Danio rerio: one gene and its partners. The protein of the gene in region 3 purifies or fractionates together with the protein of the main gene of each other region. This does not show direct contact. Links are inferred from orthologs where the notes say so. Each region holds a gene or a part of one and is shown on either strand. Other genes may lie near its edges.

Region 1 (8,095 bases), on a different chromosome or scaffold from region 3:
GAAAACATTTGTCCCGCCCTTACTTTTTACGCAACTAGACAAGGTCGACTGTGATTGGCTACTTTTCATGTCAGTCAAATCAAGCTTCAGAGTCAATTCTTAAATTGATTTACAGCAGCTTTTGACACAATGCTCTAAAATAAACATTCTAAGCACAGCGTTGTGATCGTACGCTTCACAAAATAGCCAATGCTGATCACATCAATGTTATATTACGCATCAAAGGATTAAAAGTGTTAATTGTTTCTTTCATTATCCAGCTCCTCCACGTACCACTAGGAGGAAGCCCGCGTACCACTAGTGGTACGCGTACCACAGTTTGAGAACCACTGCCCTAACCAACATAGTTAACCTAATTAACTAATTAATCAATTTAAGCTGTATAGAAGTGTCTTTAAAAATATCTAGTAAAATATTATTTACTGACCTGATGGCAAAAATAAAATATATCAGTTATCAGAAATAAGTTTAAACTGTTACGTTTAGAAATGTGCTGAAACAATCTTCCCTCCGTTAAACAGAAATTGGGGGGAAAAAATAAACAGGGGCATTAATAATTCAGGGGGGCTAATAATTCTGACTTCAACTGTATGTTTGTTTGTGCACGTAGTAGTAGTTGTAATAGTAATAATAACAATAATATTAATAATAACAATAATAATAATAATAATAATAATTGTAAAAAAAAAATAATAATAAAGACAACAACATTAAAATGACAATATTAATAATAATTTTGAAAGAGAGGAACTTTTGCTTAGGACCATATGATGTTTCAGTTTTTCTTTTTTTTTTTTATCTGCAAAAACACTGTTTTTATGTCAATTTTATGTTGTGTGTACATTGAGGGGAAAAAAGAACTTAAAATGATTTTAGCAAATGGCTGCAATAGAACAGAGAGAAAAAATTAAGGGGGTCTGAATATTTTACGTACCCACTGTATGCTTTACATCAGAATTGCCAGAAAGTAGACCTCAATGTGTTTTTTTTTTTTATAACCTTTTAACTCTGGGATTTTGGGATTTGGGATTTTTACGGTTTTAAAAATTTAAACATGGTACGAGTGGGTTGTGCTGTAATCTTTGAAAATAAATAGTTTATTTTGAGGAACATACACATTTTAGTTACAGATATTCCGCCCATAATGGATTCATTCAATGTTGAAAATGATCTTTTTTAAGTATAGTTAAGTCAAAACAACTCTGACAGCCTGGGGGAAACATTGATGGATTAGTGATGTTTGGGATGTCACATCCACACTGGTGGAATTTAATGGAAGTATAGCAGATTTACTCCAGTTGATTGAGTATTCAGAAATATCTGAAAACGTATCATTAAGTTTATTTGTATTTTGTAAAGATGTTTGAGGATTTCGTAAATATAATAATACATCATCAGTGTAGAGACTAATTTTATGGTGTGCATTAATGTTTAAATGTTTACAGTGGTACAATAAAAATGATAAATAGAGATAGAGAGAGTGTATCTAGTTCTCCAGTGTAGTGTGAAGCTGCGTGATGTTAGTCTTTTAGTAATGATGATGGCTGAAGATGATGTGGAGAGAATTTTAGAATGATTGTACTGTGATGATTTAATTATGTTATGATCAGATGTTATGATCGTTTCGGCATGTCTGCTTGTAATTAATTGATTAAAGAGCCCATATTATGGGTTTTTGAAAATTCCCCTCCATGTAGTGTGTAACACAGCTCTAAGTGAAGTAAAGTATCCAGCTAAGGCTTAAATCTGTAAGAGTACAGTGTTTAAAACGGTTGATTCATCTATAAAAGAGTCGACTCATAGCGCTTCAAACGAGTCGCCTTGATACCGAGTCATTAGGCGTTTCGCCAAAGATGAAACCTCAGTATTATAACCAAGCAGTTGGAAACTACTGGAAACTTCTGCAAACTACATGCTACAAAGAATACTTTATCGGCGTTTGTTAAAGGAAGGATCAGTAAAGAGTAACTTACTGATGGACGTCAGGATGGGTTTCTTCCTCCATTTCTCAAGTGTAAGTACGTGCGATTAAAGTTGTTGCCTCGTTGACTCTAGCTTGCAAATGTATTTAGTTGTGATTTGTTACTTGTAACCGCGTGTACTGTATCAGGTTAACTGGCTATATTCTCTTATCGCGTGCAAAGTCACGTTAAAAACGCGACGCGTGCTGCTTTGTTTACGGAGCTCCGTGGACGAGGGTAGTGTGTATGTGCGCGTTCGCTGTCGTCCTGAGGTGTGTGTGTGTGTGTGTGTGTGTGTGTGTGTTTTTGTGTGTGCGTGCGCACGCAAGGACGAGGGCAATGTGTGTGTATGTGTGTGTGTCTGTAAAAAGGGCAGAGTGAGACAAGCTATGTGATCTCCTCGACAGTTTTTGGAGTTTTTGCTCAATAAAATAGTCGTTTGAATTTTCAAGTCCATCGACTGTATTTACATTGACCCACTGGCAGCTAAAATCCACGCCTACACTATCGAGCGTGTATGAACTGTGATTACTTTTATATTGCTGATTAGCTGTTTGGCTTTTCACTCTGACTGAAGGCAGTCAACCAATCGCAACAGGCTGTCATCGGTCCAATCAGCGCAGATTAGCTTCGCGCTAAGGAGGGGTTTGGGAACAAATGAATCACTGGACGATTCATACAGGAGTCGCTGGGACAATTAGGTAAAAATAAATACAGATTATAAGACCATGAAAGTGTTTTTTGACCTTGCATGCATATTAGACTGTTGTTGGAGACCCTTACAACCAAGATATGACTCTATTTCATGTATAATATGGGCTCTTTTAAAACTTTGATACTTTTTGTCTGGGAGGCAAGTCCACTAACGTTCCAGGAAAAAAAAAAGTGATTGGTGACATTTTTCAGAAAAATATAATAAGGAAATAGAGATGTATATTAAGAGGTTTTAAATAAACATTAGCATAGTGTATAATACTTTGTGGTTATGCTTGGTCTTTCTTTGGTGATGTTAAAACCACCACATCAAACCTGTAGCTCTTTTAAAGAAATTGTTGCAAATCATATTTTAAATCTCAATATTGATCAGATCAATCGCAATTCAAATTTATCTACAATTTGACTCTTCGCTAAGCCCAGACCTCCTTAGTTACTGTTGCTACGCCTGACAAGCTATCATGCCTGGCACGGCTGTTACAATGTGTATGCGCCGCTGTCAGACATTGCCAGGGATATAATGTAATTTTTGGCGAACAGGTGAGATGTCCGAGAAAGCCAGACAAAAAAGGACTGCAGTATGCATTTCAGGGGTATATTCACCACATAAAAGGCAACCGATTAGAGAATAATTTAATCAAAACTGAAGCTAGCTTAACCTAGCCGCCTCATACTCTAACCATTCAACAGCTTAGTTCATACTCGGCAGTAGAGGTGAAATTTAAAAATAATCCCATAATAACAAATTAAACCGTGATTTCTCTATTTTTAGCCAAAAAGCCTGATAGATTAATTTTTGTGCAATGAAATATACCATTACTAACCAACGAGGAAACACGCATGATAGTGCTTTTACATAGTATATACATAGAAAGAACAGCCAGAAAGGGGAAACTCAAGGATTTGTGCTAAATATTAGCATCATTGACCCATAACAATGTACAGTGAGTTATCTATAGCTGTCAGTATGTTTGTGTACTTATTATAAAATATTGAAAAACAGCTGCTGGTAAAGTATATTGATCGCAAGTGCTCAGTTTGTGATTATATCTCGGTTTTGTTCTGTTGATTTGTAATTTCAAATATTCGTAGCTTGAAATAGATGGAAATATGAAGTTAAGTAAAGTTAGCAACAGATTTGCATTTTCCGGATCAATAACTCATGACCTAATCGCTATTAGTATGACTAAGTTACTATGGCGAAGCCTTAAACGGAGCAGTGCTCATAATATAGAGCGAAAAAAAAAAAGAAAAAGACAGCTGGGAAACATAACCTGCTTTGTATTTTTGTAGGAAACACAGTTTAGGTCTGTTTAGGGTAAGAGGTGTGTGAGTTATTGCCGTGGTTCTATCACTTATTGTGTCAGAAATATCAAAACAAAACCAACTTAACTCCGCTTAGTGCCCCTCACAGAGCTTGATCCACGCTGGCATTTCTCCTCTTGGGTTTTTGGTTTTGAAAAGGGAAAAAATTCCACCATCCTGACCAAACTTTAGGGATACCAGGTATCAGATTTGCACAATCCATATGCACTCACTCGAAAGCTTGACAGAGCCCCTGCGTGTAGCTACAGTTGCTAAGCCACGATTGGTGGGTGGCGGTTTTTGGGTGTAGATTAGCAAAGGGTCAATGGTGCAGCCCTACTGTTTTACTAAACTCTTATCAAAATGTGACCCCAAAAGCAGGGAACATACCAAACTGTGACTTTGGTGTAGCGTTCCAGCCCTACTGATTAGACTTGTAATCACCCCATTTTATATAAACTCATATTTTTGCTTTATATTAAATTTTTCGAAGCTACCAAACCAAGAAGAGACAGGTTAGTTTTCTTATACACTTGCCTTTTACAGACATTTCATTTACCTGGAATGTGCACTTGTATGTTTATGTCAATTTATGCATATGTCACCGTATATGTATACCCTACCAGCCACATGGCTGCTTATTATATTAGTTAAAAAGCTTTATTTATATACCATGATGTCCACCTCTCAACCTTAACTATGTACAGCGCATAATCATTGATGACATGAAAAAGGAGAGAAACATTACCTCCCTTTCGCCAAAGCTGACAATCACACCCTCCTTCTTGGCATTTTTTACCATGATGGTAACTGCAACTTGAGACTCTGTCTGGTACCAATCATGTCTGAATGAAGCAGAAATTCATTAAATGTGATGCAATTTTATTCTATATTTGTACTACTAAACACAAAGAATTTAAAATAAAATTATTACACCACCATACTTACTTGACATGGGTTGTAGTTTGCTGTTGTTTAAACAGTCAGTTGTAAGTGCATTTCAGCAGAAACAGAGGGAAAATAATAAAAAAAAAGCACAAATCATTGTTTGAGAGAGAGAGAGAGACAGAGAGAGAGAGAGAGAGAGAGAGAGAGAGAGTTTATTGCCATTTCAGCTTCTTTGGCTAGGTCATGGCAAAAAAAAAACTGATCAAGTTTACAACATTTTATAAATACCACTTTTCTATATTTAAAAAAATATTCTAACAATTAAAATTCATCAACAGCACATCGTTTAACAAAAACAACTGATCTCATGTATCAAATTACTCAGTTTTCTCAATTAAGGGTTCGTTGTGTTTCTTTAAATTAAGATGATAAAAACCAGGCAATAAAATTAAAGCACTAGCATAATACTGTATATTTCTTTTCCAGTTACATATAGATAAAGACAGTAAACAGACACTTACCAAATCTGAAGTTTTGTTTGGAATGTGTGCTAAAAAATCAGAAAACTATTGTATTAGACATACACATACACACAATCCCCGAACTAATATTGAATTAAAAAAAAAAATTTACGTTATACATACTCGCCATTTCAGTTTCACAGTGCTGCATCCATGTTTGAAATTCTTCAACAGAACCTTTGTATGACAAATACATATCAAAATGTAATTAATATATAATTAATATAAACTAATTTTGCAATGACATCTTTTAAATTCAACAGCATCAATTAAAGGCACCAATGAATGAATGTTATACATTTAAGTGCCAATAATATTTGCTTCAGATACAGTTAAACTGCAGTATTCTCATGCATGGTATCTTTTTAGTATAAACAGAAACAAATGTTTATATGCGTTTATTAATTATAATATAACATAGTAAATAGTTTATTCAAAATAATAGAATTATAATAATTTTAAATAAATAATTAAAATATAATAACAGATCTAATAACTAATTGAATAGCTTAAAATGACCTGCATTATAGTTTCATTAATCTGATTACAATTTGAACAACTGGAATTATAATATATATAATTGATAAGAATCTAATTACTGGAAGTATAAAGTTGGCTTAAAGGGGCGGGGCTTAGACCAGAAGCAATCAATCAAATTTTGACAGCTGGTCTATACACCTAACTTAGCTGTAGATAAGATAGATTTTTTTTTCTGTATTACCAAATGTACATTTTATCTATTTAATTATTGGGAGTGTCTTTAATATCTGCCTAAACCCAAAAACTGGTAGACTTTCTAAGAAAGTAACTTTCTCACTGATGACTAGCATTTCTTCAATCCTTCTTTGCATGGTTATTCTTTTTTCCCATGCCCATCAATCTTTCTCCCAGATTATTATCATTTTTTTAATTGAAAATAAGCTTTCTCTAGTTAAGCATTGCATTTTAATGCAATTGTTCTTTCTGATCATTCTTCCCACACTTTAGGTTTAACATTTAACTGTGAATACACACATCGCCCACTTGGTGACTTACTGCATGCTTAAGTGAGGACTGTTCAGAATATCTCTTCCCAGATAGACTTCTTGATTAGTGTGAATGCTAATGAAGCCTTGTTTTTTTACAGTAATCCACTGGCACCCTTTTGGTTGGCATGGTATATGACAGAAAGTGGCAGTCGAGGTCATTCTAGCTTGAAGTTCAAATATCATATGAGAAGCACTTCTTAAAATGCTTTATATACATAAATACTTATGTATGAATGTTAATTTCAGACCATTTTGTAACCATGATTTGAATATAGCTGCAGATGATAATGTGAAATAGCTTACTGTAACATCTGAGATTATACAAAATAAAAAAAATAAAAAAACATATACTGAGCCTTATGGTCTCTGAAATGTTAAAACTTACAAAAAGTTGTTTAAAATATAAACAATAGAGCTCTCTAGAGAAAGTGAAACCACTTGTGCTTTTAGTTGACCTCCTAATTAACAACATGGACCAGATTATGTGAAAATATATAGTTTTTATCTGTCTCATTGTGACTTCTGTCATTGTGGCTCACACAAATATACAATTATATACACACAAATTGACACTTTATCATAGCTACAATATAATAAGCCAGTATATCACATTTCCATCAAATTAATGTGGTGTCGCATTACCTTTACACTCCATACTTGAAAAAAAATTAACTCACTGTCAAGGTCTCTTCCTGCTGTGAGGGCCTGATGAGCAGCGACAAAGTTATGTAGGTGATACTCCGCAATTCTTCAAAAACAATGACAAAAAGAACATTAGGCCTGTCATTTAAAATATTTAACTTTTTTAAAGTATTGTGAATTGGCAAGCAGTAAATATTACTATACATGACAGATATCATTGTCCTAGAATGTTACACATGATCAGATTCTTTGCTTAGCCCATCAGAAGACTATGATGTAAAAACCCAAATCAGAAAAAGTTGGCACAGTATGGAAAACACAAATAAAAAAGAAAGAAGTGTAATTTCTAAATTTACTTTGACTTATATAGCATTGCAATACAACAAACATTACTTACTGTGTTTCTCATGATTAAAAAAATATATATTAACCACTTTGTTATGTGGCCATTCCTTATCTCAACACTTAAAATACCAGACCCAGCAGAAGCAGTCAATACTTTAAAAGTGCTCAATTATTAAGATTTGTTGAAACTATTATTATTATTATTATTATTATTATTATTATTATTATTATTATTATTTGCATAAGTGATTGAGACAGTTGAGTCAATGTGTAAAACAGAAAAAGGCTTTTTTCTATTTTTTAAAAAGATTTTATTTAAATATCCAATTTTCAAAATGTTCTACTTTTTTAATTATAGAGAGAACATGCAAATCTTAAGTCATGTGTGAAGCCTAACCATGATAGATACCGAACCATGAGCAGATTGAACCGTTGCACTCCTGATGTTAAATAGCCAAGTAATTACACTACACTTACCTACAGATTTTTGACAAATGCATATGGCAGCTAAAGCATGATGGCTGAATGTAATTTAACGAAGCATATTACTTTATAAATGCATTGTGTCTAAACATATTTAATTTGGCTCTATAAATTCAATTAAAATAAAGTATAGAAGTATTAGAAAATATATTAGCAATATATGGACAAATGGAAAAAGAAGAGATGCTTTATCCAAGATTTTTTTAAT
Region 2 (8,706 bases), on a different chromosome or scaffold from region 3:
AGGCATCCTGTTATTTTTAATATCTGCATTCAAACTTACATCATTTTCTATTTTAGAAGTGGTTGTCAACCGTTGGGTCATGATGCAAATAAGAGTCATAGGTGTGTCTTGATGGTTGCTGGCAGGAGGAGAAAATAGCTGTATGTAGCCTAGAAATAAAAATGCAAGTAAATGTGTACATGGTTACAGTTAGGGCTGCTCAATTATGGGGAAAAAAAATCAATCACAATTATTTTATTATTATTTATCATAATTGTAATCACAATTATTCAAAACGATCAGTTGAAGTCAAAATCATTAGCCCTACTGTGAATACATTTTATATATATATATATATATATATATATATATATATATATATATATACATCCCAAATTATGTTTAACAAAGCAAGGAATTTTTCCACAGTATTTCCTTTAGTTTTTTTTTTGTTCTGGAGAAAAGCAATATATTAGAATAATAGCAGATTTAAATATTTTTTAACCTATTCAAGGTCAATAGCCTATTATTAGCCCCCCTAAGCTATACATTTTCTGATTGCTGCAGAAGAAACTACTGTTATACAATGACTTGCCTAATTGAGGCTTTGAATCGCACTTTAATCTGAATGCTTGTATTTTGAACAATTTATAGTAAAATATGTACCGTCATCATTACACAAATGGTGGTTAATATGAAATCACTAAACACCGCGCTGAAACCTATTTGACCATTAAATCGCTCGCATTAAGATGATTTTAGATGCATATGCTTTGCTCACGTGAGGCCGAGCACGCACACACAATTGCATGCGATCTCTGTCTTGCTGTTAAAAACATTGATTCGTATGTATGTCAATGAATGATGCACATGCCATGCTGCAAACCTTACATTACAGCACATGCGTTGTCATTTTCACATGAAACTGAGCATTGCAAAGCAACAAGTGTACAACCGGAAAGAGCGGATTATAAATGCAATAATTTTTTCTTAATTGTTTTTCATAATCGTTAGAAGTAAAAATCGAATTTGATTAATTGCAGTTACAGTGCAAGTTTTGAAACAGCTAAGGCCCTGATAATATATTTTTGTTAAATAAGAATTTGTGGCCAGCTGCATCATTTTCAGCAGCAATCACATTAAGCAACTCTGAGGGTAAACTTATTCTTTGCTCGCATAAAGGCTATAGAATTAAAACCTTTAAGATGTAAATCTAAAGCATATTTACAAATTCATCCATCAAATTGTTAGTACTTTTATATTAAAATAATTTTTACAGTAAATAAACAATTTACACATCTTGCAATCTTCTTAGTCATTTATCCCCCAAAAATGCAGATACGTATGGGTGAATGAAAACACAAAAGGTCATGTCATTAAATTGTTTATTTTTTGTAGACAAATAGTGTGACCTTAATGTTGACTATTCAAAAGTTAAAAAATAAAAAATAGACAAGCTCACTTATAATAGATAAATATTGTTTATTTAGACAAACCACCAACACAACTGTATAGAGTTGACTTATTCTACATTGTCAAGCACTCATTGAGTGATTAATATTCATTAAGCTTCCACCTAGAGACAGATTCTGCCTGAACTTTTCCAAATAGAAAAATTCATTCTCCATCACAGGTACAGGTAAGCCACCAGATCACCGAACACAAGGCCCAGAAACGCAGCCATTGTGACCTGTTGAGGGAAAAAAAAAAAAAAAAAAAAAAAACTTAAAATTCAAGTTACCAAATTAAGCACTGCATTTGGCAAACTATCTAATATTCACATGTGCCTTGTGACAGGATCCAGACTCAGAGAATGACCTCTGGCCTGGGTTTTAACAAGAGCAGCTCAATATACCCCCCTGTTATGGCCACTAGAGACACAGACAGCCTCCAGTGGGCAAAGCGTAGAAGGGAACACTGGACTTGTTAACAGTCTGAACATTTTTGAACTTACAGATGTAACCAAATGCATTGAACAGATTAAGGTGCTGCTCTATGCATCATCTGTTGTCTCCTTTTGTTCTAAAATGTTAAACTAGCTCACGCAATAAATAAATGAATCATGGGATGACAGTTACTCACCGAATGATTGCAGATTTCTCTTCCTAGCCTTTACCTCCTGCAAACAAAAGAAAACAGACTAAATATTGATCTTTTTAAACAGAAGTAATGAATATAATTGTTGAAAAGTTGTTTCTCCCGACAGGATCCGAAGCATGGAATATCAAAGCCAGCACTTCAGGTTTTTGAGAGAATTCTTCTGCCCCCCTGTGTTATTCACTCAAGCCATAGAAGGACTTGAATGTGCAATAAAAGGGGCTGACAAAACAGAGCTGAGGGGCTGAGAGGCACCACACTCACCAAGTAACTGTGGAAGGATTCATCAACAACTGTGGGCTCTGGAACAAGACCATCTTTAAGCCTAAGCAAGGAAAAAGCAATCATGTTAATTTCTGGGTTTTATTTGCAAGCTTTTTCCATTGAACAAGAACTGACGCCAGGATTTGTCTGGTTAAAAAGAAAACAATGAATGAAAGTCATTTACAAACAAAATCACAACGTGTTCTCTACAGATACAATTTGTAAATTTAATTTACAAAAATTTGAGCCAATTCTTTTAAAAATAGGAAAACTAAAGACCATAACTAAATATTTAGCGTCTAATAAATTGGCTTTAAAAGATAAAATCAATATTTAATCTTGACTAAAACACAAACTCGCTTTGAAGAACAAACAGGGAAGAGCATGCAACATTTAATGTAATTAATTTTGACTTTATAGATGTGTGGATTTCATGCTTTGTTTTAGATTTGTGCAAGGGTGAACAAACACCTTAGAACCATCACAGAGCTAAAACTCTTCCTTTTAGATATTAAATATATATATTTATATATAAAAAAACACTTCCTTACCTTTATATTTCAGACATTGTAGTAATTGGTGATTTCCTCTTCAGTCAGGGGGCTCAGATGGCCAGTCTGTAAAAATAAGTTTAACATTAGGCTAAACATTAGCAAGTAGACCGCTAACTCACCACGTGCTGTGTAGAGAACACGTGGCCTTTTAATAATTAAAAAGTTACTAGTGTTTAATACTAACCTTAACGTGACTTAATAAATGCATTGCTTCATTATTTAAAAGATATTTATTATAAAAATATTTACCAAGCCTTAAACACTTCTAGAAAGCCCACTATAACTGTTCAGGTTAAATAATTAAAACATTTATAGTCCAAGTTGCAAATACAGGAGTAAAATAAAACATAGAGTCTATTTAACTAATTAAAAAATACAATACATATGTGCATTAATCTGAGTATTTAATCTCACCAGAGGTAATTTTGCCTCCGCTCATGTTTTCTGTGCCTGCTCTCAGGGATTGTGCAAACGGAAAAGAAAGAACACGTGTGACCGGTGCGAGGAATTCTGGGACTTTTAAGGGGACCGCCTCTAAATTCATTTCGCCTCTTCAGATGATTTGGGGAGTCAATCTGATCTGATTCACTCTGATGATTCAGACTGATCAGCAAACAAAACGTTCTGACCGGTTTTGAGAAAAGAATCGACTCAGTAGAATCACACACGCTATTTTGCATGGCTGCACAGCACACGAGGCAGTGTTGTTTAAACTAGATAAAAATTAAGATCAATATTTTGTGAAAACAGACCTATTGTCATACATTTTGTCAGAAAAGTAAAAATAAATTTACTTTATATCTGCATTATATGTGCATTCTTAGGGGCTTGTAAGTGGAAATGGTTGTTACTTGATTTAACCCCTTTATCTATCAAATCCAAATTCTACTGGCCACAGCGAATTTATCAACTGATGTTCTCACCATTCATTGGTCAGTTGACCTGTCCATCAACTGACCAGCGTTTCGTGTCGTACTCCCCAAACGCACCAATCGGGACTCAATGGGCGGGGTTTGACCGCTAATCCAGGATGTGAATGTTTCGTTTAGGACGTGCAACTGGCAAAGATGTTTACAATAAGTTTATCCAGCATTTTTATTCTCATTTGCAGTGGCCATGAAGAAAACATCTAGATGAAAGCCGCCGACGTTTATCTCACGCTTTGTTTGCACTTTGCATGAGCGGCGGGAATTGAGTGGTCACTGATTGCTGTCCTCCGTTGGGATTGCAGCTTGGCCTGTCAGTGTTCCGCTGTTACAATCATGTTTATTTCATAAAGATGGCAACGAGAGGCACCTTATAAACTAAATGACTGTCAGAAACATCGCCTCCATTTGTAATATGGTAAGTAGAAGTGTTTGGATAGCATGCTGGCTAGCTCTTACGTAATGATGATGGTTGAATGGCTTTCCTCAAAATCAGGTGCATGACCTCATTTATGAGCTGATGCATGCTTGGATCACTTCTCAAGTAAATGCAGCTATCATAACTAGACGTGTTTGCTTGCTCATGTAATAAACTGTGACTGAAAGCTTAACTGCCTAAAATGAGTTTTACAGTCAGTGATTCCGCTTTGTTTTGTGATAGTATATGTAGTGTGAATCTTGTCATTTTAAACAATCAAGCAATCTCAGTGAAAAATATCTGTACTTTTTTGTTGCAGTAGCTCTTTCTATATACTCCGTATTTTCTAACATGTAAATAGCGTATTCATTGTCTAGTCGTTTTTGATTCTGACGTCATTTTGAATGTATACGAATATTAAACAGTGCTGCAGGTTGGTCTACATACAGAAACATTTTAACATTTGTTTTGGAGTTGCCCATTATAGCAAGCCGTTTTGACATTTATTCAACAGCCCGTACTAGTATTTATTTTTATGTTAATAGTACTTACTTTGTAGATACTACAGTAGGATCTTTTCCATTAAATAGTAGTGCTTATTCATTATACTAGTGCTTATTTGTTGGACACTAGTGGTGCCTATTATTTAGATACTAGTACTTTTTCTTTAGCTACTATTGTCTTTTGTAAATTTACTAGTACTTATTCATTAGATACTAGTTTTTATTCATTAGGTCCTAGTACTTAAATAGATAGGATGTATTAGATACTAGTACTTATTCATTAGATACTAATACCTATTAAATAGATACTAGTTCTTTCTTATTAGACACTTATTAATTAGATACTAGTACTTATTTTAATAGTGACTAGTAACTATTCTGTTGTTACTAGTAACTTTTTTTTCCCATTGATTTCTATAGGATATGTCATTGAGATATCGACTATTCAGTTTTGACTAGTGTGTATTCCAGCTGGGACTAGTACATATATTTTTTTTATGTACTAGAAGGTAATCATTAGGTACTAGTACTCATTAATTAAATACTAGTACCCAATTAATAAACAATAGTATCTATTTATTATCTACTAGTACTTAAGTAATATATACTTATACCTAGTATATATGGTTACTAGTCACTATTAAAATAAGTATTAGTATCTAATAAATAAGAATTAGTATCTATTTAATAGGTACCTAGTATCTAATGAATGAGAGTATAGATATATACATTAGATGTTGCCTACCCTGCTGTTGTCTATTAGAAGGAATGCATCAGCAGAGCCGCCATTTTAGTACAGGAAATGAAATGAATGCGGGACCAAGATGCAGTGAAGGACTGTGGCCATCCAAAGCCAGAGATATATACACGTATATCTCTGATCGGGAGTTTTTCCGGTTGTCAGTATGCAAATATTTTTTTTTTTAATTACAAAAATTTAATTTTACATCTTTTTTCCACTGCATTTTCGGCATTGCCGACAAAGAGTATATGTTTGTGTGCATGGAAATGTATTATTCTCTCTCCTTGTTTAATTTGGTCTATTCCGCGTCCTGAAACACACCCCCTCATGCTTTCACTTCTCATTCTAACGGAGGGAGTAATTCGTTTATGGGATTCCGTTATGAACGACTCGTTCCCTTGGCTGACAATAATACAAGTTTCTGGCACTGCAGCAACTTGTTGTCATATTTCATAACATTGTTTGCTTATTTTATTCAACAAAACTAGCATAAGCCTAGTATTTAGTGTGAGTTGGTGCTCCTTTGCCCTATGGTGAATGTAGTAAGAGACTATAATAAGATAAGAGAGTATTATCATCATCAATATTTGTTAACCACAAAAGTTCATAACATAAAAATGTAAAAAACTAAATCTTACGTATTAAATGTTTTGCCTTAGTGCTTTGTTTTCTTTGTTTGCTCGTTACTACACCCGTACACAGCGCTAAAGTCCAGCATCTTCACATTGGCACACTGTCTTGACCACTTCTGTCCTGGGAGCACTGTACAAATGTGGCGGCGCTATTGACGCATACTCAGGGTATGCGATATCTAGTGTATATATATCTATGATAAATGAGTACTAATATCTAATTAAAAAAAAAAGTGTCTAATAATTAAGCACTAGTATATTTTTAAAAGCAATAAAACACTTAGTATCTAAAGAATAGGCACTAATACCTATAAATAAGCACTAGTATTTAATGGAAAAGATACTAGTATCTAAAAAAATAAGTACTAGTAGTAGTAACATAAAAATAAATACTAGAACAGGCTATTGATTAAATGTCAAAATGGCTTGCCATATGTAGTTACTTTTTGATGGATTTCTGTTTTTTATTAGAATCAACGTTATGTCCAGCTTTCAACTTTATTTTAAAATGTTTTTTTTAAACTTTTTTTTACATTCAATAGATCACTATACAAAGAATATTTATTGATCAATTTATCACTTCTGTTGGTAAAAGTCAGTATACAAAAGCCATTATTTCTTATTTTAAAATCAGACTTTAAGCTGTTTATCTGACAAACAAAAAAATCTGTTAAGTATTAATGAATGCAAACATTTACATGTTTTTATATATTTTTTCCTTTCGTTGTCGTCATCCCCTGGCTTTTGTATATTGTTCTTAATTTTGAATTGTCAAAAAAGTGCTACTGGTCAAATGAGCAGTTACTGGGTCCCTCAAACACGTAATATACTGTAAAAGAAACCACAATTCATCTGAATATGTCTGGTTCGGTACGGTGGCACAATGGGTAGCACAATCGCCTCACAACCCTAGCTGGCTCAGTTGGCACTTCTATGAGTTTGCATGTTCTCCCCGTGTTTGCGTGGGATTCCTCCAGTTTGCTCTTGTTTCCCCCACAGTCCAAAGTCATGCGGGACATGTGCATTGAATGAATAAGCTAAATTGGCCGTAGTGTATGTGTGAAAGAGTGTGTATGAATGTTTCCCAGTACTGGGTTGCAGCTAGAAGGGCATCCGCTGCATTAAACTCATGCTGGATAAGTTAGCGGTTCATTTTGCTGTGGCGACCCCTGATTAATTAAGAGACTGAGCAGAAAAGAAAATTAATGAATGAATGAATTTAGTAATTAATTTACTACACATTATATTAATTAATTGTATTAATATTAATTATATAAATTAATTAATTATAGTATAATACACCATGTTTGAATAGCATTGATTTTTTTCAAAACATTTTCATTGACATGTTTTCATTTTGGTTTGAGTTGGTCTTTTAGTGATTTTATATCCTTTTGTAATTTTAAATTGTGCATTTTATTATTTCACTTTCTGTTTTATTAGTTTTCGTATGTCAAATTCAACTTTGTGTAGAGTTCAGACAGTTTCCTTGGTGTCTTTGCAACAGCATAATTGTGTATTTAAGTACAAAGTAATATTCATTTAAATTAATTATCTTCTAAAAGGACAGAGTTGCATGAAAAAAATTGTTGTTTTTATAGTAGCTGGGGAGAGATGAGCAGAGAAGGTAGAGCTTGTCAAGGATTCTGCAAAATAGAACTTTGTATTTTAAAGTTGCACGGTATTAAAATTCCATGATTAATCAATTAAATTTTGCTCAGAAAAAATGAGTTTAGTGTTTCATGACCATTTAAGTAATGTAATTTTCCTGATTTTTGTTTCAAAAGTTTGCAATGTTGGATTCATCTTTGGTTGGCTTTTAAAGGACATTTTTGTTTTTCTTTTTTTATGGAAAAATTGTTTCCACAATCAGTGTTGCTGAAAAGAGAATTTGTGCTAATGCATTCTATGGGAGCAGAGCCCATTGTTTTATGTAATACTGGTGTTTCTGCTGGATATCTGACATTGCATGAATATTTCAGTGCCTGAAACTGGCCTGAAGCCTGTAACCACAGTCAGCTCATCCTTAGATATCTGCAGGTGCTGTGTCAGCCTGGGCTAGATGTGGTTAGAAACATGAAGAGTGAATTATTGCCAGCATGAGGGGGCTTAGACTTAACGTCTGACTGCTGTTTAGTGCTAGTTATGTAACCCATGTCCGGACAGGGTTCATTTGTTCATTGGTGTGTGTGTTTGGGGCCACATCTTGTAGTGGCTCATTGGCCATGGATACAAGGCAAGCTAATGAAATGTTCTCCTTTATGTCTTCCAGGTTCAGTCCTGTTAAATGACCTCATTATTGTGCGATTGGTGTGCACAACTACATGTCTGACCTTCAGTTTGAAAACATGTGTCTTTTATTACATGTACTTTCGATTGAAAACAATCTAGCTTTAGCTGCTTTAGTCAGGCAATATAGTGGCTTATGTGTTTGATTTGTGTATGTGACCTTTTATATATGGAATGTTGTTGAAACAATTGTTTAAAAGAAATGCATCCCACATTTGTGACTTTCTTAAGAATTTACATATCACAATTCATGTTTTCTTCTTAAAATTGTGAGTTTATATGTAATATAACTCTCGCTGAGT
Region 3 (8,281 bases):
TCAGTATTGTTTGTTTTTTGGGATATCTATAAGCTAATGTGCTCAAAACAGTCCTAAAATTCACATGTAGAAGATGTAACACTGAATGGACCAGCGGTTTCCTCACGTCTCCTCATACCTCAGTTCCTCATCACATCATGACCAATCAATGGCTCTCTAGTGTCTGACATGCCCCGCCCCCTTTAAGACGCTTCTCATTGGCTGTTCATTTGATGACCACTCTCACTGGTAGAGCTGTGATAAAACAAAATGCTATTGGCTGCTTTTTTAAAAAGGGGAGGGGCTTTGCTATGTCCCGCCCTCTCTTCATGTTTTGATTGAGATCAAGTCAAACATCGAGTAAAGATGCCCGTCAAAGCACTTGACTGGACCTTTAAGGCTGAACGGTGAGCTTTAAGAAGACTTTCACTGTGTTTAACTGTCCACTTCTACACTCCAAACGGTCCACATCAGCCGGCAGATTCAGTTTAGCAGAACTCTGTCTGTGTTGAGCTGCTGTGACTCAATCTGCACAGAGCAGCACTACAGCTGTAGAGATGAGCTCAACTCAGAGAAAGCACAACACTGCCATGCCCAGAACCATGTCTGATCATCAGTCCAGCCGCCGCTGCTGCTACTCTACATCCAGGTGTGTGTGTGTGTGTGTGTGTGTGTGTGTGTTTTAGGGCTGCATGATTTATGGTTTTGCATACGGCAATGTGTGTGTGTGCACAATAGTCAGATGCCAGGATCTGCAGTGTGGAGTCAGGATTAGAGTTGATCAGCAGAACAGATGAGCACATGAGCTTTGTGGAGTCAGAGCAGAGTATAAGCAGAGCTCCATCATCTGTGTGTGTTTCACAGGCATTCCAGGAGAGCGTAAAGCATTCACACACACACACACACACACACACACACACACACACACACACACACACACACACATCTGCAGGTTACTGGAGATTACTTTTACTGAATATTAAATCAAATGATGACTTCACAGAGCAGCGCAGAGGGAAGAACAATCGCCTCATAGCAAGAAGGTCACTGGTTCGAGTCTGGGCTGGGTCAGTTGGTGTTTCTGTGTGGAGTTTGCATGTTCTCCCCGTGTTGGTGTGGGTTTCCTCCGGGTGCTCCGGTTTCCCCCACAGTCCAAACACATGCGCTATAGGGGAACTGATCAACTACACTGGCCGTACTGTATGAGTGTGTGTGTGTGTGTGTGTGTTTGTGTGTGTGTGTGTTTTCCAGTGATGGAAGTGCATCCACTGTGTAAAACATATGCAAGATAAGTTGGCGGTTCATTCCACTGTGGCGACCCCTGATGAATAAAAAACTAAGCTAAAAAGAAAATGAATGAATGAATGAATGAATGAAGACTTTACAGTGTTATTTGACTTTTTCTTAGTCAGTCCCTGAAGACTGTTTGACTCTCCTGATGCCATAAAGCTCGTTTATTTCACTGTGTTGTGCTTTGCTCTGTTGTAATTCTGCCTGCTGTAATTTAGTTATTTATTTATTTATTTTATTATTATTTTTTTAAAGATTTATTTTTGGCCTTTTTTGCCTTTATTAGACAGGACAGTATTTAGACAGGAAGCGAAGTTGTAGAGAGAGAGAGAGGGGTTAGGGTAGGTAAATGTCCTCGAGCTGGGATTCGATCTCGGGACGCCTTGACACGCTCCTGCATCATATGTCGACACGCTAACCACTAGGCTATTGCGTCGACTTAGTTTTCATTTTTATGCATGATTTACACCCTTACAAAATCCCCACAATCAATCCAAATTCAAGACTTTTCCCCCAAATAGAGCTCTTCAGGCCATGTGGTGAACTGGGCATGGGATGATAACCGGGTATACTGCGGTTAGGAAAAGTCAAGGTTTTAAAAGCATCAACATTTTCTGCGATACCGTTCATAATGTATGTGTAGAATTTCTTATTTATGTTTTTAGGACAGCAGAAAACACATTCAAAGATGCCATTTTACATAAAGAAATCAGAGTTTTAGATTTAATGAAGACAGCAGAGGTCAATCATTCATTTGAGTTATTTAGCCTGACGTGTTCACTGCTCCAAAATATTAGAAATGTTTCTCAAAATAAAATATGCTGTGTTCAGAAGAGTAAAAAGTTTGTGTTTTTATGCAGACACTTAAAAAGAAAATATCTGTACAGCGAAACCACGATAATTTTATCCTGGGTCATCAAACCGTCAGAATCTAACACCAGCCCATGCCAAGGTGAAACTGGAATATACATCACTGAAAAACAAAATATTGCAATGCCATGTCATGCAGCCCGGTCCAACCCAGTCCTGCAGAGTTTAGTTCCAACACACTCACCTGCAGCACCGCATCAGTGTGATCAGGTGTGTGATGGACCCTTTCCACATCAGTGTTCTGACACGTTCAACACTCATCAGCATCTTCAACTCTTGAAAGTGTTAGATATTCAGATTTTTAAATAAGCGTGTGCACATTGACATGCGTTTATGTGTGTGTTACATCATCAAACTCCCGTGTGTGAGGTGTGTGTGTGTGTGTGTGGGGGGGGCAGTAAACCTGCCGTTATTCTCTCCTCCGGCTGCCGTTATCAGTCTCACACTATTGTTCTCCTCCTCCTGACGGTCTGGATCACACTATCCTGGAGTGCTTCTGTCATTATGTCAGCTAACAGTATTGTATTAATGATGTGCTGTACTCTCCTGTTTGATGTGTACTTGATGAGCAAAGGGTCCATTGGGGCCGGAACTAAAGTGTGCAGATGTGAGTGTGAGCCGTGTGCTGTAGTGTGTGTTTAGTGTTACCTGCGTAGAAGCGCAGCAGTGAGCCCAGCTCGGTGTTCATGCCCTCCTCCTGCACGCGCCACGGGTCCTTAAAGCCCAGCTTACAGAGGAAGTCATTCTGGATCTGCAGGGGCCGCTCCTCGGGGCCCAGGCGGCGTGCGGCCTCGCCGTGCAGCTGGACATACAGCGCCGGGCCCGACTCTGCATCCTCGGGAGCACTGGGGTCAGCGGGGCCCGAGTCTGCAGTGTGAGAAGCGCTGGGGGCCGCTGTGGGCCCCGGGTCCAGCTCCAGCTCATCAGAGGAGCTGCCGTACGGATCCAGGCCCTCCACAGGACTCAGCGCACACGCCTCCGTCCCCAGGATCATATCATCGCTCAGGGAGTCGCGGTGCTGGCCGAAGTGGGCCCCGGGCCCCAGATCCTCACACACACTGCTGCTGTCCACATCCGAGAAGCGCTTGGAGTCCTCGTCCTGCGGAGACGCCGAGTGTGTGAAGAGCTCAAACTCCGGCTGCGGGTACCGCGGGTCCCTCTCCAGCAGCAGCAGCCGGTCCTGCAGGCCCTCGGCCCCGTTGTGTGGCAGTCTGAGCGGGTCACAGGAGTCAGGGAGGTCGGCGCACGGCGGGCCCCGGAGCCGCAGGACAGAACCGCTGCTCTGCTGGAGCCGCTGGGCGATCTCCAGTGCGGTGCAGTCCACGGTGCACAGGACGGGCCGCGGTGGCGGCGGCGGAGCCCACACCTGCAGACGGGGGTGCACATGCACCGAGCCGCGCCGCAGGTCCACACGCACCCACTGACGGTCACTCGGCTGCAGCAGGGGCCCGGGGCGGGGACGGGGCCGCAGGGACAGGGGCCCGGACACCAGGCTGGACGGATGCCTCTTCACCCTCCTCTTCCTCAGGCTGGAGCAGGCTCTCAGGGGCTCTGCGGAGATCGGGCTGCTCGACGCGCTCTGCTCTTCATCCTCCTCCTCATCCTCGGCTCGCACGCACACGCTCTTCTTCGCTTTCGCGCTCTCCATCCTCGCCGTTAGTCCATGCGCGCGGGGAGGATCGCGCCGTGCCGCGCCGCTCGACAGCAGATCATGGAGTCTGAGAGAGAACGGCGTAAATCTCGCGAGAGAGAAAGGCGCGAGAGTTCGGTCACGGCGCACTGAAACGACACACAAACATGGGTTTTCGAGTTAATTGAGATTCTGTGCTGCACATCTGCGCTGTTCTGCGGGTAATCCACACACGAATGTCAGAAAACAAAACAAGAGGCGTCCACTTACAGGAAGAGGGAAGATCATCGCGAGACTTGAGGACGAAGCTGCTCCAGAAAGGATGATGACGATGATGTTGAATATCCCGTGTGGAACTCGGCGATCATTCGGTGACGGTGATATATCGAGTATATTAGTGTTAAACGGATGTTTCCGACTAAAGGCAGTCGTTCCTGAAGCGCTGCTGCGTTCTGTGTGTTGATGAGTGAAATACAGCAAGGAAGCGCGGCGCTTCACGCAAGTCTCGCGAGACGAGAACCAGTCAACGCCCCCGACGCAGGAGCATTCGGAGACTAATCGCATCGCGTGTGTATTTTATTATGATTTACCTTCACGTTTTTGTTCTCAAATCAAATCCATTATTGTCCATTCTAGATTTTGTGTCCACAAACCGAAACGAATCGAATGTACGTCGCTGTGGTGTAGAACTGCATTTCCCGTGATGCCCCGCGCGTTTGTTTTTGTTGGTGCGTCACTCTCTTCTTCACCGTGTGTGTGTGTGTGTGTGTGTGTGTGTGTGTGTGTGTGACGGTACTAAATCAGCAGCAGTCAGCGGTAAACACACTCGGAAAGCTGAGCTCCTCACTGCGCTTATCACATCTCAAATAAATGTCCGCCAACTCGTGCGCTTCTCCCTCAGCGTTTGTCCCTCAGTGACCGCGAGCGCGGGTTATGAGCAGGGAATCAGTCTCGCGGATGATTTCGCTCATTGGAAGTCATTTAAATGAATATAGATGTCAAGTTAAATGTTGAGGGAGTTCATGTCGGCGGGCTGACGCAGATGAGTTGGAGATCTGAAGAGTGTTACTGCCATCTGTCGCTCACACAGAGAAACACACACACACACACACACACACACACACACACAGTTGGAGAAGAGGGTAGACAGCGCTGGGTGACGCACAACTCTTCTAGACTTTTACCAGAGTATTCTGTCGCCCTCAACAAGCTCTTAAAGCATGGAAGTTGTGTTATGTGCACAATTTCTCGTTCCATAAAGCAATTTTGTGGAATAATTCTTATATAACTGTTAATCGCAAATCTCTCTACCTGCAAAATTGGACAGATAAAGGTATTTTTTTCTTGTCTGATATTTTGGACCAATCAGCTAATTTATTTTCTTACAAAAATTGTATGGAAAGATGGTCATTCCCTATTACATTTAAAGAATATAACTATGTAACAAAAGCCATCGGTTTACTAATGCTAATGAGAAGTCACATGTCTTCATATAGGCTAGTATCAATATTTATAGAAATATCCTCCGCTTTACTTACATGGGGTACACTTTTGTAGTTAAAAATGTACAAACAAAGTTATTAGATTAATATTTTTCAAAAATAGAGCCTTAAAACCTAGAGGAAAATGTTTTTGGAATGTATATTTCGATGATATTGTGTGGAAAAAAGCTTGGTTGCTTCCTTTTCGTTTTTGCGTAGGTAACAAATACAGAGAACATTTAAAAATTTTACATAACATTTATATTAGTAATCAAACATTAACTAAATTTACTCAGACGGATGGAAACTGTTCATTCTCTTTACATCACTCAGACACGGTGATTCATCTTTTTTATGATTGTGAATATTTAAAAAAATTTGGGAAGATCTATCATTGTATGCCAAAAACAAAAAAATCAGGTTTTAGTTGCAATTTGACCCCCAAAGACGTTATATTTTTAATTTGTTTCAAAGAATTTATCTGGAATTTTTATTGAATTTTTTAATTTTGTTCGGTAAATTTCATGTTCATAAATGCAGGTTAAATAACACTAAACCTTGTTTAAAGGTTGCTATTGCAGATTTTCATTTGTATATAGAATCGCTCCAATATTTTAAGAGCTAAAAATGTATAAATACAATTATTGCGGCAAAGGAGCTGAAGTTATTTGATTAGTATTCTTGCTGTCAATTGGATGAGTATTATCATTGTAAAGATCTCTATGCTGAATTGTCTTTTTATTTGTTTAATTTATTTTTTAATTTATGTTATTAGCTACTTTTGTATTTTTTGGATGTCATGTTTAAATTGTATATTTGTTGTTCAATAAAAAAATAAAATAAATCAATAAGTATTCTGTCGCCCTCAGCTGATTGAGGACATCTGTAACCCGCGTCAATGGTTCAGGAGGTTCAGGTTTAACGTCCTTTCGTTATGTTCGGGTTTAAAACACCCTCTGAATTAAAGTGCTGTGAATGTGTCTGATGATAAACATTGTTCTGCACACATCTGTTAATCAACCTCAGTCATGATCAAAACTAATAAATGTTTTTAAATAAATCCATGGCCAAGCTCATGAGATCCCGGATTTGGGGACTGAATAGATGAAGAGTTTAGATGCAAAAACCTCTGAAGTTCTCTTCTGAAGTCAGCACTGTTCTCAGCCTCCAATATATTTATGTGCAGCTATTTCTCTTTAAGGCAATGCAAGGAACCTATTTTTAATGCAATGATTTACTGAACACACAGGATTTTGCCAAAATACCCCAACATTTCAGATGGCATTTAGAGGTTTATGCATCTAAACTCTTCATATGTTTATGGTTTATTAGTCTTGGACCACACTGGCCTTGATGCATTCTCAGTTTGTGTGCAATGCAGATTGACTTCCATTATAATCACATTTTCTGATTAAAGCTGACAGCAGACAATCATCCAAACTGACAAAGTGCAGAATATGAGCCCTGTATGAGCTCACTTATTCCATTTGACTGATATGCCGTCATACATTGTGAAAATTATCTATAGAAGAAGTCTTTAAGATTCATTACATTTTTAATTATTCAAGTCGCAAAATTCTGACTGAGGAAAGTTGAATGAGCTGACCAATTTGTTATTTGCCTTCAGATTTATTTTAAAGCAAGATGTATAATAAAAAAAAAATGTATTTAAAAATAAGTATTTTTCCATATTTATTAATTTTTTAATAATGCTAATCTCATATTGTTTATAAAACAGCATTAACTTACAATTTAAATGCAATTTTTTTATAAATCCTTTGTAGTAAAATAGCATGCTGAGTACTTTGACGAAATTGTAGGAAATATTTTTGGTGCATCAGAAAAGTGTGGTAATGATCAAAAATGGCAAAGATTAGTTCTTAAAATGTCACTAAAATGCATAAATAAATAGAAATAAATAATATTGAACAACTGCAAAAATGTCCACTTTTTCAGTAGTCTGGCTATGAGCCTGTATAGTCGTCATGTTTTATTTCTGATCATCATTACTGATGAACTTTGACATTTTAATCTCATCTGTGGTCAATATCTGCTCATACAGCAGTAATGAAGCATTTAGAGCGGTTTAATTGCAGATCGTCCACTGTGTGGCGCTGTTTGCACATAATAAATGTACTTGCAGGTTTCCAAATATGATGAAGGATCCAAGAAATGCTCTAAAAGCTCGAGTAACCCTCAGATCCTCCACCACCCATCCTGCTCAGAGCTGGGACTGACCCGGCGACTCTCTGCATGTGAGTCCAGTGCTCTAACAAGGAGGATAAAGACCATGACTACTGCTGTCTTACTGAGGTCAGAGCAGTGAGGTTTACCTGGCCTCTGCTACACTCACCCTCATACGGGTCACGGCACCAACGTGACCCTGCCGGTCCTAATGCACCCAGCCTGCTCCGAGCTGGGTCTGGACATGCTTCTGGATTTAGGACATTTGGACTAGAGACTGAGAGCAGCAGATGTGTCAGTGTGTGCTCATCATCGGCATCATCGTGTACTTATGAAGACAACACACACACACACTCAGTCGGTGTTGGTAAAGAAGGTCAGGGTTTATTGCTGGAATCGTGACGCGCGCGCTCACACACACCCTCATATAAAGTCATGCAGTTTCTACAAAGTCTTCAAAAACACACACCTCTGTTACAAAGATGATTGGGTTCCTGCTGGAGCTCCGGCTCTCCTCGTCATGTTCAGCCAGAGTGTGTGTGTGTGTGTGTGTGTGTGTGTGTGTGTGTGTGTGTGTGTGTGTGCGTCGACACTCAATCCAGATCAGATCAAACCTACACCTGCATCAGCCCACAAGCAGTCCTGATGCGTGTGTGTGTGTGTGTGTGAGATGGTCAATATGTATATGTGACAGTCAGTGTGTGTGTGTGACAGTGAGTGTGTATATGATGTTCTGTGTGTGTGTGTGTGTGACGCTCTGAGTGTGTGATTGACAGTGTGTGTGCATGTGTGTGACTGATTGTCGGTGTCTGTGTAATAGTGTGTGTGATTGTCAGTGTGTGTGTGT
Region 4 (6,928 bases), about 53 Mb from region 3:
CTGGCCTCACTAACACCACTTCTAACAGCAACCCAGTGTTCCCTAGTGGTCTCCCATCCAGGTACTGACCAGGCTCAGCCCTGCTTAGCTTCAGTGAGTAACCGGTCTTGGGCTGCAGGGTGATATGGCTGTGGCATTACATTACAAACCACAGGAGAGGGCAAATTCTTCAGCAGGATAGCGCTCCTTCTCATATTTGGCCAGCCCAGTCACCAGAAATGAACATTATTGAGCATGTCTGGGGTAAGATGGAGGAGGCATTGAAGATGAATCTAAAGAATCTTGATAAACTCTGGGAGTCCTGCAAGAATGCTTTCTTTAATTTTTTTTTTATTCCAGATGAGCTTATAAGCAAAGTCAGACCTTACTGTCCTAATTAAATAATTGAAAATCCAGGCATGATCATATTTTATTTTGATAAAAATAAGCGTAATCTAGAGGCCTTTGCCTTTCATAAAAGCCACTTCTGATTCCAAATGATCAACTAGAAGTCAAGTTATTATTTGTTCTTCCTAAAACTTGGATAGACGACAAGACTTTAGTCAGGTAGTGTATAAGTGGTGAATACCACTGTAAACAGCGCGAACTGGGCTACAATAATACGTTAGCAACATTTATGTATCAAAAACACTGAAGACAGAAGACTTTTCAGAACTGGATCTTGTAGCCTAGAGTTTTTGCTTGGAAATGATGCGAACAACAGTCGGTGTGTTTTATTAAACAGCACGTTATATTGTATTTATTTGTTGCATATTGATTACCACTAAAATATTCATAATATACAGCGTGTTTAACAGAATTTGCTGTACTTTTGAAGCTTTGATGTACCAGAGTAAAAAAAATGTAGATTCATTTTAATTTTGGGTGAACATCCTGTTAAATCTAGACAATAAAAGTAGCTTACTTGTGGAGGACAAAAAAATAGGGACGATAAAAAAGCATGTTTTCAGTTCTGGATCTCCATCAGAAACGCCATCAGGAATGTTTCAGACTTGAGAATGGAAGTATACGTGTGCATCATCATTATTATTGTTAAGCTGGACAAGACACATTCGCAAACACAACAGTAATAAATATACAAAAGAAAAATCTGAAATGAAGGCAGACGAATGATGAAGTCTCAGTTCACAGCATGTCATGACACCTGCGTCAATCTCTAGTCTTAAACCTTCCACCGACTGTCTGGCTCTGTTATTTTAGCCACTGCAAAAGAGAGAAGGACAAAAAGAAAATTCCTTGAAGGTGACGGTCAAACCTGAGAAGAGCAGGGCATTCTGGGATGCTTCTTCTGGAAGTCAGAGTGATGTGGGTTGAACGTGACGGGCTCTGTACAGCGATTAGAGGTCTTCATGTGGATTTCTGTCGATAGTGAATGGTCAGGTCTCCTCCACTCTTCCAGATGAAATGCTTCACAGTCCTGAGGTCCATGTTTGGATCCAAGACCTGTAAAATACAGCAAGCATTTGTTAAAAACAAATCACAAATTAATTTAAAGGGACAGTTCACCCAAAAACAAAAATGTACTCACTGGCTGCATCCAAAATCCCCTATTACTGAATTTGAATGTACAACTTCACCATTAGAAAGGTATGTTCTACACAATATGAATGTGAGCAATATAAAGGAAACTCGGACGTACTACATTTTGCCATACGCCATTTTGTCATGATTACGTGACTGACCCATGCTGGAATTCTCTCGTGGTGCATCATGGGATAGCATAGCGTTTATCCAATGTGCACTTCAGAATCTCGCTTGAAGTCATTCGGGAATTTCTTGCATAATGTTTTTCAAATTTGGAAATACTACTCAGCTCATATACTGTTTTAATCGTACTATATATCATTGAAGAATGTAATTTCAGACGCAGCCACTATGCATTCACCATCAAGTGTTTTCAAACCTTTATGAGTTTTTTTTTTTTTAACACTACAGAAGATGTTTTACAGAATGCTGAAACCCTTTGACTTCCATAATAGGAAAAACAAATACTATGGAAGTCAATGGTTACAGGTTTCCAACATTTTTCAAAATATCTTCTTTTGTGTTCAACTAAAACATGTTTGGAACAGGTAAACAATAAGTTGATGTCGATTTTCATTTTTGGGTGAACTTTCCCTTTAACAATGTGGCTGAAGGACTGTTTTGTTCCATTTAAGACTGTTCACACAACAAACTAAAACTATATTAGCAGCATCCATATTTATCAATATATGCTAATTTTGTGTTTATTAGAATCATCATAATTTTCATTGTAAATATTTATCATCTGCCACTTTAACATTGTCAATGTTTTTATAAATCATTTGCTGGAAGAATTACTTGAAAGGTAGAATAATGAAAGAAATTACAACAATATTAAGTGACTTCATTGTTAAAGCTTGTTAAAGAGGTGATTGAGAGCTTTTTTTAAATTTAGAGTGATTTCTAAAGGTTTAACATATTTTTTATTATTATTTTCATAGTTGTTTGCGGTGGTGTGAACAGGCCTGTCTGAACCAGAGTTAATTAAATCTAAAAACATAATCTTTCAATACTTTAAATAAAATAACATTTAAAGAAACTTAGTTAGTTGCAGAGATAAAATCAGAATATTTACACATACATAATTAAATGAATTAATTAAAATAAAATATTAAAATAACACAATTACAAAACTTCACCAACTTAAAAAAATGACACTAATTCAAGCAACACAGTGTAGATTACATAAAACTCCCTGAAATTTTAACAAAATTTAGTGCATTAATGAGCATTAATTCATAAATGTAGGTTAAAAGCGACCAAACATATGAAGCAGAGAAGGATTTACTCAAGTTATTATGTTACAGTATTTTAAAACTGTTTAACTGAGATTAAAGCCACTTTTAACCCTGGGTTAATCAATGTGACAGATTTAACAAAACTAAAGCCTGGTTTATACTTCTGCGTCAAGTGACCGGCGTAACCCACGGCGCATGCAACGCGCGTAGCTGTGCATTTATACTTCTGCGCGCTGTCTCTGATGGTCTGCATTAACACTTCTAAAACGCTAGTTGGCAGTGAGGTGTAAATGTTCCTCTGTGTCGAGTTTCTTCGCTGCTGTTTTGCTTTTCCTGAACACTTCCTGTATGTACAAGTGCGGAGGTGCAACAACTTTAACTATGAGGTAAACACAAAACAAAACTTTCCATCAGGAGCTCCTTCATGGGACTCCACACTTGTAAACAATCGCTCCATCAGGCTCGCACCATTCACGCGGCTCTCGGTCCCTCCCAGACTCTTCAGCACTACCAAGCCAACCAATCACAGAGGCTGTGACGTGTAGTTACATTTTTTGAGAGGTGCACGTCAGCGACGCCGACGGCCACAGCGAAGGGCTATGCGTCAGCACCGTAGCATACGCCGGTGTTTGACGCAGAAGTATAAATCAGCCTTAACTGGACTGCACTGATAAGAAATTCGAAAACAATCCCAAAGCAATTAAAAAACCATCAACTGTCACCTTATTTACATTAGTTTCAGCATCTGAGGGAAAATAGAGTGTTGAACAGCAAATAATCAGTACATTATTTTATTCTTTTATTCGTGTCTAGAAGCATTAAAGAATCCGATAGCATGTCTAACCTGATCTAAACACATGAGCTCAATCTTCTCTTCAGCCATCACCGACACGTCCTCCTCTTTCTCCTGCTCACCCGGCTTGTCATTGGCTGAGGAGCTGGTGGCCTGCGACTCCGTGTCCAGGTTGATGATCTTCTCATAAACGTGCTCCATCACTTTGCGCACCTGCAGCATGTCGCTAGCTGACAGGCGATCCCTGAAAACAACAGAGCGGGATTAGGATCTCCAAAACCTTGATCTCGGAAAAAAACACTAAACAAGTCAAATCTAAGCACTTTTCAAACACTTTCCAGATGCATTTTCAAATGATTTCCAGAACTTTACAGGTGTGGCAAATGACATATTTACATACTATGCTACATATATCTGATGCTACGTGTTATTGTCACTTTCCACACCACACAACAGCCTCAAAACATTATGCAAATTCTGAGTGTGCCTCCCACAGGTGAGTGGGCTTGAAAAACTATCTGTAGAAAAAAATTGCACCTGATAGTTTCTTAAGATCACTCGACATTTAAAAAAAGAAAAGAAATAGAAAAACATTGTGCATTTATGAAGTGAGCTTCACACAGGTAAGTGGGCTTGACAAACCACCTGCAGAAACACTCTTCTCTCTTAAATAAATAAATAAATAAATAAATAAAATAACACTACTCCCTCCTAACTCTAGCACTTAATTCTCTGAAGAGATCCATTGTGTAATTCTTGCGTGTATTGCCTCTTCTTGTTAAATCGCTAAATGCTTCCTCAATTGTACATTTAAGAGTTCACACTTAGATATTGCTTGATAATAATGGCAGGTTTGGCATGCTGTCCCAGGAGAGAAGCCTGAGGTCTGAGATAATTGAGCCCAGGGCTACCACATGGTAATTTAGCATTTAAGGCGGTCCAAGAGCAGGTAGTTCCAGTGAACTCCCTCTAGTAGAGGAGGAAAAGGGGGAGATGGGGTGGAAGGGGGGGATTTTTCCAAAACGAAGGTAAGAGAAGTAAGGTGAAATGGTCTATTTATTGTAGGCTTGGATTAATCTGATAGGTTCATTGATGATTACAGGTGAGAGACCAGCTGTCTATCTATCAATAATATCATGTGTTCCTCTCAAAATTAGTTTATCAAACTTCCCAAAGGGTTTACTAAATGAAGTAGTCTTTACTATATATAGTACAGTTTAGTAGTATAGTGCAGTACAGTATTCTAAGAAAAAATGTGATGGCATGTTTTCTCCAAGCCCAACATTGAATTACTGTCATTTATAAGGATGTAACGATGCACGTATTCGTATTGAACAGTTCTGTACGAGACTTTCGGTTTGGCAAACACTGCACTAGCTCGCAAAATGGGTATACTGTTAATGTAATCCTCCTATAACCAACAGCAGTTCTGGCGTTTGGGAACACTTTGTTTTCGGTACATTTAAAGCTGTGGATATGAGACAGGGCTCGAAATTGCAACTAATTGTTTTGGTTGCATATGCGCCCAAAATTTTATATATGCGACGTTAAAATATATTTGGGAGTGCATAAAATTGATGTCGTGCGACCAGTTTTCACAGCAAAATGTTCACCACGTGCGCGGAATTGGGAGGCATTCACGCATTAAGCATCTAAAAACAGCAAATGCAGCACTCGGGAATGGTTTAAAACAGTTGACATGTCAAGTTGCAGTAAACTAAGCCCACAATGCTTGCCCCACCTTCAAGCTCTTCTTATTGGCCCACTGCGCTAGAACAGAAAGCGAATGGATTGGTTAATATCGCTGTCAATGGCTGAGTTCCAATGACAGGAAGCTACAGCCGCAAAAACGTAAAGGTCTGGATACGAGAGAATGAAAATAACACTGACAGATTTAGTTATAGAAACCACCAAAGGAACAAATGTAATGAATGTCAATCCAGCATTTACACTTTTTGAAGAGTGGATAAAAGACTTCCAGTGTTTAAAGTCTGCTATGAAAATGACTAAAGCATTCACCGTAAAGCCGGTGGGACAGAGTTTTCAGGTAACAGTGTTTGCCACTGAATCTACACATTAAGCACGAGATGTTCTAACATAATTAATCATCACGATGCTGTCAATCGTGCGACTGACACCGTGTTCACCATCGCTAAAGAGCATGCATTCACTGAGATGAAACTAATATTGCAGCTCATGAAAAGACCGTTACTGCTATTAAGATAATGCACGCAAATAATAAGTTATATGTCAATATCATCTGTGCAATATCAGACACCACCCGTGAGAACACAGTACAGTTATTATTGTTAACTAATAATAGGGCCAGTAAATTAAAATCAGAGAAATCCTCAGGCTTTTTTCTTTTTTTGCTGTATCGAAAACATACCGAACCGTGACACCACTGTGTTGTATCGAACAGAACAGTGGTTTTTGCGAACCGTTACACCCCTAGTCATTTACTCTCTGAAGTGTAATTAACTCACATTGTAAATGTGCATACGCACAGACTTAAAAAATATTTATTTTATTTAACTCATTATTATTTACCTATTTAAGAACTAATTATTATGAAAGCAGAATAACTATATTTTCAAGTAGTTTCAAGCACTTTATCCAAAAGCTAAAGACTTTTCAAACCTTAAAAACAGCAGAATCCAATTCAAGGATTTCCAACACGCACAAGAACACCTAAACACACTTCAAAATAGACTCATAGTATGTCTAAATAGTGTTTAACTAAAGGTGCTGTATGCAAGTTTTTCTCCTCTAAAGTATAAAAATACCATAATATGTTTGCAGATATTTAAGAAACATGCTAAGTGAACATTCTTGTTTATCTGAAAAACAATGCTGAAGTCAGATATTCTGCTTTGAAAACGTGCGTTATGTGCCGGAACGGCTGTCTTTTTTTTGGTTCTTTTAACTCGCCCAATGCCAGTTTAACCAATTATATTTCAGCATCACCGGTTGCATTGGTGGAAAACAGCATATTTCATTCAAAAAGACTCTGAAAGCATGCATCCGTGACCAAAATGCGATCTCCGGTGGACAGTAGCAGACTCCGAAATGAGATGCAGATTCAGAGTTCCACAAGAGGTTATTAATTAGAAAATAATATTACGAGAGTAAACATTAGGTGAGCAGGTTACATTGTAACCCTGTGTCAAAACACGTTACGTGACGAGATTTGCAGTGATAAGCAATTTGGCTGATTGCACCAGACAAAACACGACAGAAATTTAAATACAGTCATTCAGAAACACTGAATATGCACTCGCTAATGAAATGGTAAGGTTTATAATGTAATTAATACATACTAAACCTCTTTAACATTATTAAACGTACATGCTGAATCATCATCATTGTCAGC

What was found.
Region 1: the proteins of phlpp1 (region 3) and sugt1 purify together in Homo sapiens (affinity purification with mass spectrometry; 5 studies listed by BioGRID and IntAct, with this or other methods). This does not show direct contact. The link is inferred for Danio rerio from reciprocal best matches to the Homo sapiens genes PHLPP1 and SUGT1.
Region 2: the proteins of phlpp1 (region 3) and usp46 purify together in Homo sapiens (affinity purification with mass spectrometry; 7 studies listed by BioGRID and IntAct, counting the BioPlex papers as one, with this or other methods). This does not show direct contact. The link is inferred for Danio rerio from reciprocal best matches to the Homo sapiens genes PHLPP1 and USP46.
Region 4: the proteins of phlpp1 (region 3) and wdr48b purify together in Homo sapiens (affinity purification with mass spectrometry; 5 studies listed by BioGRID and IntAct, with this or other methods). This does not show direct contact. The link is inferred for Danio rerio from reciprocal best matches to the Homo sapiens genes PHLPP1 and WDR48.

The regions. Positions count from the first base shown.
Region 1 is NC_133176.1:29,653,166-29,661,260, reverse strand, and holds part of sugt1 (protein SGT1 homolog), read right to left. Parts: intron 7,166-8,095; coding exon 7,095-7,165; intron 5,567-7,094; coding exon 5,513-5,566; intron 5,419-5,512; coding exon 5,390-5,418; intron 4,949-5,389; coding exon 4,929-4,948; intron 4,826-4,928; coding exon 4,729-4,825; intron 1-4,728. UniProt on the Homo sapiens protein: May play a role in ubiquitination and subsequent proteasomal degradation of target proteins.
Region 2 is NC_133195.1:25,680,484-25,689,189, forward strand, and holds the start of usp46 (ubiquitin carboxyl-terminal hydrolase 46), read left to right. Parts: upstream 1-4,176; 5' UTR 4,177-4,202; coding exon 4,203-4,238; intron 4,239-8,706. UniProt on the Homo sapiens protein: Deubiquitinating enzyme that plays a role in behavior, possibly by regulating GABA action. May act by mediating the deubiquitination of GAD1/GAD67.
Region 3 is NC_133177.1:263,534-271,814, reverse strand, and holds the start of phlpp1 (PH domain leucine-rich repeat-containing protein phosphatase 1), read right to left. Parts: upstream 4,258-8,281; 5' UTR 4,040-4,257; intron 3,919-4,039; 5' UTR 3,788-3,918; coding exon 2,788-3,787; intron 1-2,787. UniProt on the Homo sapiens protein: Protein phosphatase involved in regulation of Akt and PKC signaling.
Region 4 is NC_133177.1:53,195,393-53,202,320, reverse strand, and holds the end of wdr48b (WD repeat-containing protein 48), read right to left. Parts: intron 3,800-6,928; coding exon 3,607-3,799; intron 1,444-3,606; coding exon 1,348-1,443; 3' UTR 712-1,347; downstream 1-711. UniProt on the Homo sapiens protein: Regulator of deubiquitinating complexes, which acts as a strong activator of USP1, USP12 and USP46. Enhances the USP1-mediated deubiquitination of FANCD2; USP1 being almost inactive by itself.